Callithrix jacchus: one gene and its partner. Each later gene encodes a partner of the first gene's protein in a complex. Links are inferred from orthologs where the notes say so. Each region holds a gene or a part of one and is shown on either strand. Other genes may lie near its edges.

Region 1 (3,743 bases):
ATTTTACACTTAAGTGGCCAGCGTCAACTATGGGCATTCCAGATGGTCAAAAAAGAAATGACTGCTACTACGCCCGAGATCATCATATAATAACTTCTTGAAACAACCACAAAATACCAAAGCTTCAAAAACAGCCAGATAATTAGGAAACCAGCAGATGGGAGAAATCTGTCTGTACGAAACATGTTCCCATCTCAGTTTTCAAAGTGGCTTTATATAAACGCATTCATCTCCTACCCAAAAGAACACCAATAATCAAACGACTCAGCACTGCAAGGTGATCCCCAAGGAAGCGAACTTGTGCAGACAGATTTCAAACGCCAGGAACCACCAGCAAAGCGAACAGGTTCCCCTCTGACGGCTGCGATGCTCCATGTCCTTCCTTCCCCTAGTACCCCGCGGCCCACTGAGCCCTTCCCCAAAAGTCCCCCACTTCTGAGCGGCGCACGCCCCCGACCGTAGTTACAGGGGAGAGCCGCCGAGCGCCCAGGGCGCCAGTAAAGCTCTGCGCACGCAGCCCGACCGGAGGGGCGAGCGTCTGGGAGCTCGGTTTGGGGCCGGATGCAGAGGAGGAGGATGTCCGAGACGGCCCCAGCGCTCTCAGGGTCTGGCGCCCGCCCCTCCGCCTCCCGCCACTGCGGTGCCCGGCATCCAGGGACCTCCCAAGGACTCCCCGCCCCCTACCCTGGGTCAAGACTTGGGGCGGCGCCAAACCCCCAGCGGAAGAATTCCCTTGGGTACCCCGGGAAAGGGTCGCGGTGCAAGGCTGGGCTGGGAGTGCAGGACGCGACGGCGGCAGGAGGACGTGGGGGGTCGGAGCAGGGCGTTCTCACCGCAGGGCCTGGGGAAGGGAGCGGGGGTGGGGCCGCCGCGGACCAGATGCGGGACAGAACAGGGACGGCTGCTGGGGCTGGCGGCCACCCTGGGAAGGGCTGGGAGATGCGAGGAGGCCCCCAGCGGGACACACCTGCGCCGGTGAGGGGCCCGCCCGCCCCGAGCGAAGCCTTACCTGCCCAGCGCCCGCTTCATTCCAGCGTCAGCTGCGCAGCGCGGCTCGGCCGGCCCGGTGCCGGTCAGGCGCAGGTTCTGCTTCAGACGGCAGTCGGCGTCCAGCGCCGCGGCGGCCGAGCCGGAGGAGGACGAGCCCGCGGCGGCGCAGCGCTCATGCTCCAAGGCGACGGGCTCGGTCCGCTTCCTCATCCCGCGACCGACACGGTCGGCCGCCGACGGCGCCCGCTGTCCTCGCCCGCCGCCTACGCCGCTCACAGCCGCCGGCACCCGGAGCCGGGACACAGGAGCCCGCCGCTTCTCACATCCTAGCCCAGGCCTCGGCGCAGGGCGGCCACGCTGGCCAATCAGCGTCGGGCTCCCGCCGGCCCCGCCCCCCCCGCCACCGCCTCCCTGGTTCCGAGGGGCGCGCGCCCAGCATCCCCGGCGCCACCCGCAGCCATGTTGCGGAAGGGCGGGCAAAGCCGAAGCGGCGCGTCATCGCCAGGGCAGGGCTCTGTGCTCCTTAGCGGGACTGCGGCTGCCCTCGCCCGGGCGCTGGGCGCTTCTGCGAACGGAAACCCACAGGTAGCAAGTCGCAGTTGTGTTCTTGTGATTCCTAACTCTTTTCCCACAAGGACTTTGCATTTAAAAGTATGCTTTCTAGTCATCAATGTTTAATTTGAAGCAAATGTATATAGATACTCAGTTTTCACCTTTGGGCTGAACACCGGGGAAATGAACTGCTTGAGAAATTTACTTTTTAAAAACCTGTATTAGGTAATAGTTTTTGTTTGTTTTTTTGCTTTTTTAGAGACAGGGTTTCACCCATGGTGGACAGGGTGGTCTCGATCTCTTGACCTCATGATCCGCCGGCCTCCGCCTTCCAAAGTGCTGGGAATTACAGGCGTGAGCCACCGCGCCCGGCCTAGATTTTTGATTTTTATAAAGAAATAAAGGGCCGGACGCGGTGGCTCACGCCTATAATCCCAGCACTTTGGGAGGCCGAGGCAGGTGGATCACGAGGTCAAGAGATCGAGACCATCCTGGTCAACATGGTGAAACCCCGTCTCTACTAAAAATACAAAAATTAGCTGGGCATGGTGGCACCCACCTGTAGACCCAGCTACTGGGGAGGCTGAGGCAGGAGAATTGCTTGAACCCAGGAGGCGGAGGTTGCGGTGAGCCGAGATTGCGCCATTGCACTCCAGTTGGGGTAAAAAGAGCGAAACTCTGTCTCAAAAAAAAAGAAAAGAAAAGAAATTAAGACTAACTGATGGGAGGAAAATCCATTTCAGAGATAAATTCGCCCTCCTGAAACCCAAATTAAGTACTAATTCAACCCATCCTAAAAAGAGAAAAGGAAAGAAAGGGCAGTTTCACGAATTTCGTTTTATAACTTTGGCCTTTAATACGGCATTACTTTTGCAGATGATCTACAACCAAGAGAAATATTTGCTTACTTGTTCCGAAGTAACTTTGGAAATTTTAATATTTGTCACTTTAAAAACTATTGGCAACTGATAATTTAAGATCAATTGGAAATGCATGTAGAAATTCAACAGCTTTTTATATTAGCTTTGTAATGATACTTTGAAATTACAAAAGAATTTATTGACCGTATTACTAAATACCACAGCCTGCATTCATAATTGTGGCAGTATCTCCACATACACTTTTTAAAAACATTGTGGGGGGGGGGGTTTGTGGCTCATGCCTGTAATCTCAGCACTTTGGGAGGCCAAGGTGGGCAGATCACTTGAGGTCAGGAATTCGAGACCAGCCTGGCCAACATGGTGAAACCCGCGTCTTTACTAAAAATACAAAGATTAGCAGGTATAGTGGCACACGCTTGTAGTCCCAGCTACTTGGGAGGCTGAGGCAGGAGAATTCCTTGAACCTGGGAGGTAGAGATTGTAGTGAGCTGAGATCGCACCAGTGCAGAGAGCCTGGACGACAAAGCAAAACTTATTTTTTTGTTTTTGTTTAAAAAAAAAAAAGGCCAGGCATGGTGGCTCACACCTGTAGTCCCAGCACTTTTGGAGTTTGAGGCGTGCAGAACAAGATGTCAGGAGGGCGGGGTGCAATGGCGCATACCTGAAATCCCAGCACTTTGGGAGGCTGAGGCGGGTGGATCACCTGAGAACGGGAGTTCAAGACCAGCCTGACCAACATGGAGAAATCCTGTCTCTACTAAAAATATAAAATTAGCCAGGTGTGGTGGCACATGCCTGTAATCACAGCTACTCATGAGGCTGAGGCAGTCAGGAGGATCGCTTGAACCAAGGAGACAGAGGTTGCAGTGAACTGAGAATGCACCACTGCACTACAGCCTGGAGTGAAACTCTGCCTAAAAAAAAAAAAAAAAAAAAAAGAGAGGGGGTCAGGAGAGCGAAACTAGCCAACATGGTAAACCCCCTCTGTACTAAAAATACAAAAATTAGCTGGGGGTGGTGATGTGTGCCTGTAATCCCAGCTACTTAGGAGGCTGAGGCAGGAGAATTGTTTGAACCAGGGAGTTGGAGGTTGTAGTAAGTGGAGATCACGCCACTGTACTCCAGCCTGGTGACAGAGACTCCGTCTCAAAAACAAACAAACAAACAGAAATTAGGCATGGTGGTGCACAGGCCTGTAATCCTGACTACTTGGGAGGCTGAGGCAGGAGAATTGCTTGAACCCGGGATGCTGGGATTTGGAGGTTGCAGTGAGCTGAGATCATGCCACTGCACTCCACCCTGGGTGACAGAGTAAAACTC
Region 2 (3,743 bases), on another chromosome or scaffold:
AAAAAGGAGCTGGGGTGATCAGAACCCAGGAGACCTGAGCTCGGATCCCGATGCCTCTTACTAGTCACAGTAGCAGTGACTTCGGGAGATACATGACAGGTTCCTGAACCCAGCTTCCCAATGTGGAAACGGGGTTAATTACAGTAGCTACACCTAGTTGCTGAGGATGGAGTCATAAAGGGAGCTGGGCCTGGTGTTTTGCTGCCACCTGATGTAAGTTTTTTTTGTCCCAACGTCCCCCCCCCCCCGACCCCTGCCCGATGTAGTCTTGCTCTGTCACCCAAGCTGGAGTGCAGTGTGGCGATCTCGGCTCACTGCAGCCTCTGCCTCACGGGTTCAAGCGAGTCTCCTGGCTCAGCCTCCCTAGTAGCTGGGATTACAGGCGCTCACCACTAGGCCTGGCTAATTTTTTTGTATTTTTAGTAGAGGCGGGGGTTTCACCAGGTTGGCCAGGCTGGTTTCGAACTCCTGACCTCAGGTGATCCGCCCCCCTCGGCCTCCCAAAGTGCTGGGATTACAGGCATGAGACACCGGGCCTCTTGTTAGTTTTATATGGAAGAATGCACCCCATCCCAAGTGGAAGCTACCAAGGAATCAGCCCTGGGAGGGAGCCGGCGGGCCAGGTGGGCGCCGGCTCCCTGCTCCCCACCCGCCTCCCGCCAGTGGTTACCATGACAACCGGGGACTCGTCTCCTGGCAGTCCCGTCAGCTTCCGGTAGAAGAGCTCGGCCACATCCCGGCCGCCACTGTCCCCACGGACTGGCGGGTGGAAGAACTCAGTGAAGAAGCCTGCGACACGGGCTGGCCCCGGGCGCCCCTCCCGCCCGACACCTCCGCCCCTTCCCAGCCCCGCGGGTCTAGGATACAGTCTTTGTAGATGAGCGGGTCCCCCTTGGAGGACAGAATGAAGAACTGGGAAATCATGGCCGTTCTGGAGAGTAAACGAGAAGACGGCGAAAGTTGGGCCTGCCCCGCCCTGAGGCCCCGGAACAAAGGAACACGCGTGCGCTGGCCCTTTAAGAGCGATTCTGCTCCGCCTAAGCCAGCTCGGACCGCGGGAAACCAGACGCCCGCCCAGCCTAGCTCGGCGATTCCCTCCCGACGCCCACACCGCCTCCCCGTCACTCATTCCAGGTCCTCCTGGTGATTGGCTTGAGGCTAGCTGGAGGCGGGGAGAGGGCCGGCCTCTGCAATTGGCCGGCAGGCAGTGGCGCCGGTCACGTGGGGGCGACGTTTCGCGCCAATTTCGGTTGGTCAGCCACAGTCCACCGCGCGGACGTTCTCCGCTTGCCCGGGACCCAGACCTCTGAGTCCGCCAAGCGCTGCCGTACGGGCCTCGGTAGTGATGGCACTGAAGGACTACGCGATCGAGAAAGGTACTGCTCTACGAGCCTGGGAGGGCGTCCTGCGCGGGGAGCCTCCCGGGGAACACCTATTGGTGTGAGCTGGGGTCTTGTGGAGCCGGGATCAGCAAGTTCTGGGGACCACAAGGCTAGAGGCAGGGTCGGGCGGCCGCCCGGCTGAGGCCCACGAGGCGCAGGTGGCATCCATGTTGAAGAAAAGCTGGTAATCCCACGTAGTAAAGGTGTTAGGGTCATGGAGTTGGGGGCTTGGGGGCGCTAACCTGGCTGGGGGGGTGCTGCATAGGGGAGAATCGCGCCCAAGACCTCGGAGTACCCTAAGGACTCTGGGGTTCCGGGCCTGCTTTCCTCCGCGCTTTTGGGCATTCCCCAGTTCCCGCGTCCTCCCGAGGCGCGCGGAGGCCCTGGGGGCGGGCAGGCCGGGCCGCTACGCACCAGGATTGGCCGTTTGAGGCCGCCCTCCAAGCGGAAGTGGAGCCGGGCGGAAGTGGCGCGACGCGGATGGAGGGAGTGTCGTGTAAACAGTGTCCTTCCGCGCAGCGGCCTCGGAGAGAGCTGTGGCCCAGGGGAGGGGGCGTGCCTGGGAACCGGGAGCTTCGCTCGTGCCCCGGAAAGGCGGTAGTGGGCTGGGATCGCGGCGGCCCCAGGCGTGTTGTCCAATGGCTGGATGGGCTCCCGCCCTGGGCGGAGGAATCCCGGGCTGTGAGGCGGCTGGAATCCGGTCCCATGTGCTTCTTTGTTTACTAAGAGCGGAAGCGCTGGCGGGAGCGGGGGTGGGGTGCGCGACCCGCCTGATGGCGGAGGTCCTGGCGAGATCAGGGGCTCAGGGGCCCAAAGAAGGTGGGGGATCATAGGGGTGGAAGGAAGGCTGAGAACCTTGAGATCGGAGTGTGGGGCGCCGATGAGGAAGGGCGCTAGGGTTTTAAAGTAGGGACCGGAATTCCCCTGGGAAGACGATGTTGGATCATCCTGTGAACTGCCACGACCTCTTTATTCTTCGCTGATTAAAAACAAACTTGTGAAAAAGAGTTATACCCATTTTGGGGAGAATTCGGTAGGTTTATTTAAATGCTCATATCGTTAACTAGTTCATAAATCGTGTTTTAAGTGAAAATAGGCGTCTTAGATTTCTGTCAGAGGGATGGGCAGTAATATAAAGTTTGTGTCTTATGATTTTACCTTTTACGTTACAGAAAAGGTTAAGAAGTTCTTACAAGAGTTCTACCAGGATGATGAACTTGGGAAGAAGCAGTTCAAGTATGGGAACCAATTGGTGAGTCTAAGATTGGGTAAAGAGAATGAGGAGTCGGGTTTTAAGAAGTCCTAAGAAGCGGCTTGTTTCATCAAGGATGTTTTTCTGACATGTTTATCAGGGCATTTGATATCTGGTAAGAGAATGTGATGCTATAGTATTTTCATAATAATTAGAGAGTTTGGGGGCTGAGAAGTGAGTGTGCTCTCTGAGGTGCTATGTTCTCCCCTGTGGATGCCCAGAGCCCGTGCTGAGCTCTCAGTGATGCATCTTCACACGTGAACACTGAACAAGTGAACATGGCTCTGAGGTGTTGCTGTCTCTTTCCCACCTGAGGTTCGGCTGGCTCATAGGGAACAGGTGGCTCTGTACGTGGACCTGGATGATGTAGCTGAGGATGACCCTGAGTTGGTGGACTCAATTTGTGAGAATGCCAGGCGCTACGCAAAGCTGTTTGCTGATGCGGTACAAGAGCTGCTGCCTCAGTACAAGGAGAGGGAGGTGAGTGACTGGAGAACAATGCAGGGCAAGGCGTTTCAGCTTCTGTTAAGAAGCTTCTCAGATACTGATGTTTTCGGAGCCAGGCAGAAAGCAGGGGCACTTCTGCCTGGCATTGTCTGTGCTCTCCTTTCCCCATCCTGTTACTCATTTTTTTCTGCTCTTCTCCTTTAGGTGGTAAATAAAGATGTCCTGGATGTTTATATTGAACATCGGCTTATGATGGAGCAGCGGACTCGGGACCCTGGGATGGCCCGAAGCCCCCAGAACCAGTATCCCGCTGAACTCATGCGCAGATTGTGAGTGGTCTCTGTTGGGAAGGATGTAGGGATTGGTTTGTGACTCCAGGATCTTGTTTGTGACTGTTTTCTCCTCTTAGTGAGCTGTATTTTCAAGGCCCAAGCAGCAACAAGCCTCGTGTGATCCGGGATGTGCGAGCTGACTCTGTGGGGAAATTGGTGACTGTGCGTGGAATCGTCACCCGTGTCTCTGAAGTCAAACCCAAGATGGTAGTGGCCACTTACACTTGTGACCAGTGCGGGGCAGAGACCTACCAGCCGGTACGTGTGGAGGAAGGAGCAGGAAAGCACTTCACACTTAGTCATTTTATAGAAATTGATATGATCCATGAT

What was found.
Region 2: GINS1 (region 1) and MCM7 share a complex: the UniProt entries of both Homo sapiens proteins name them as parts of the CMG helicase complex. The link is inferred for Callithrix jacchus from reciprocal best matches to the Homo sapiens genes GINS1 and MCM7.

The regions. Positions count from the first base shown.
Region 1 is NC_133506.1:32,101,785-32,105,527, forward strand, and holds the start of GINS1 (DNA replication complex GINS protein PSF1), read left to right. Parts: upstream 1-1,427; 5' UTR 1,428-1,449; coding exon 1,450-1,575; intron 1,576-3,743. Other genes in the region: lysophosphatidylserine lipase ABHD12, read right to left, coding at 1,010-1,200. UniProt on the Homo sapiens protein: Required for correct functioning of the GINS complex, a complex that plays an essential role in the initiation of DNA replication, and progression of DNA replication forks.
Region 2 is NC_133503.1:13,483,016-13,486,758, forward strand, and holds the start of MCM7 (DNA replication licensing factor MCM7), read left to right. Parts: upstream 1-1,248; 5' UTR 1,249-1,345; coding exon 1,346-1,376; intron 1,377-1,624; exon of another isoform or gene 1,625-1,803; intron 1,804-2,099; exon of another isoform or gene 2,100-2,415; intron 2,416-2,554; coding exon 2,555-2,634; intron 2,635-2,949; coding exon 2,950-3,114; exon of another isoform or gene 3,115-3,118; intron 3,119-3,285; coding exon 3,286-3,410; intron 3,411-3,490; coding exon 3,491-3,671; intron 3,672-3,743. Other genes in the region: AP4M1 (AP-4 complex subunit mu-1), read right to left, coding at 671-759, 867-924. UniProt on the Homo sapiens protein: Acts as a component of the MCM2-7 complex (MCM complex) which is the replicative helicase essential for 'once per cell cycle' DNA replication initiation and elongation in eukaryotic cells.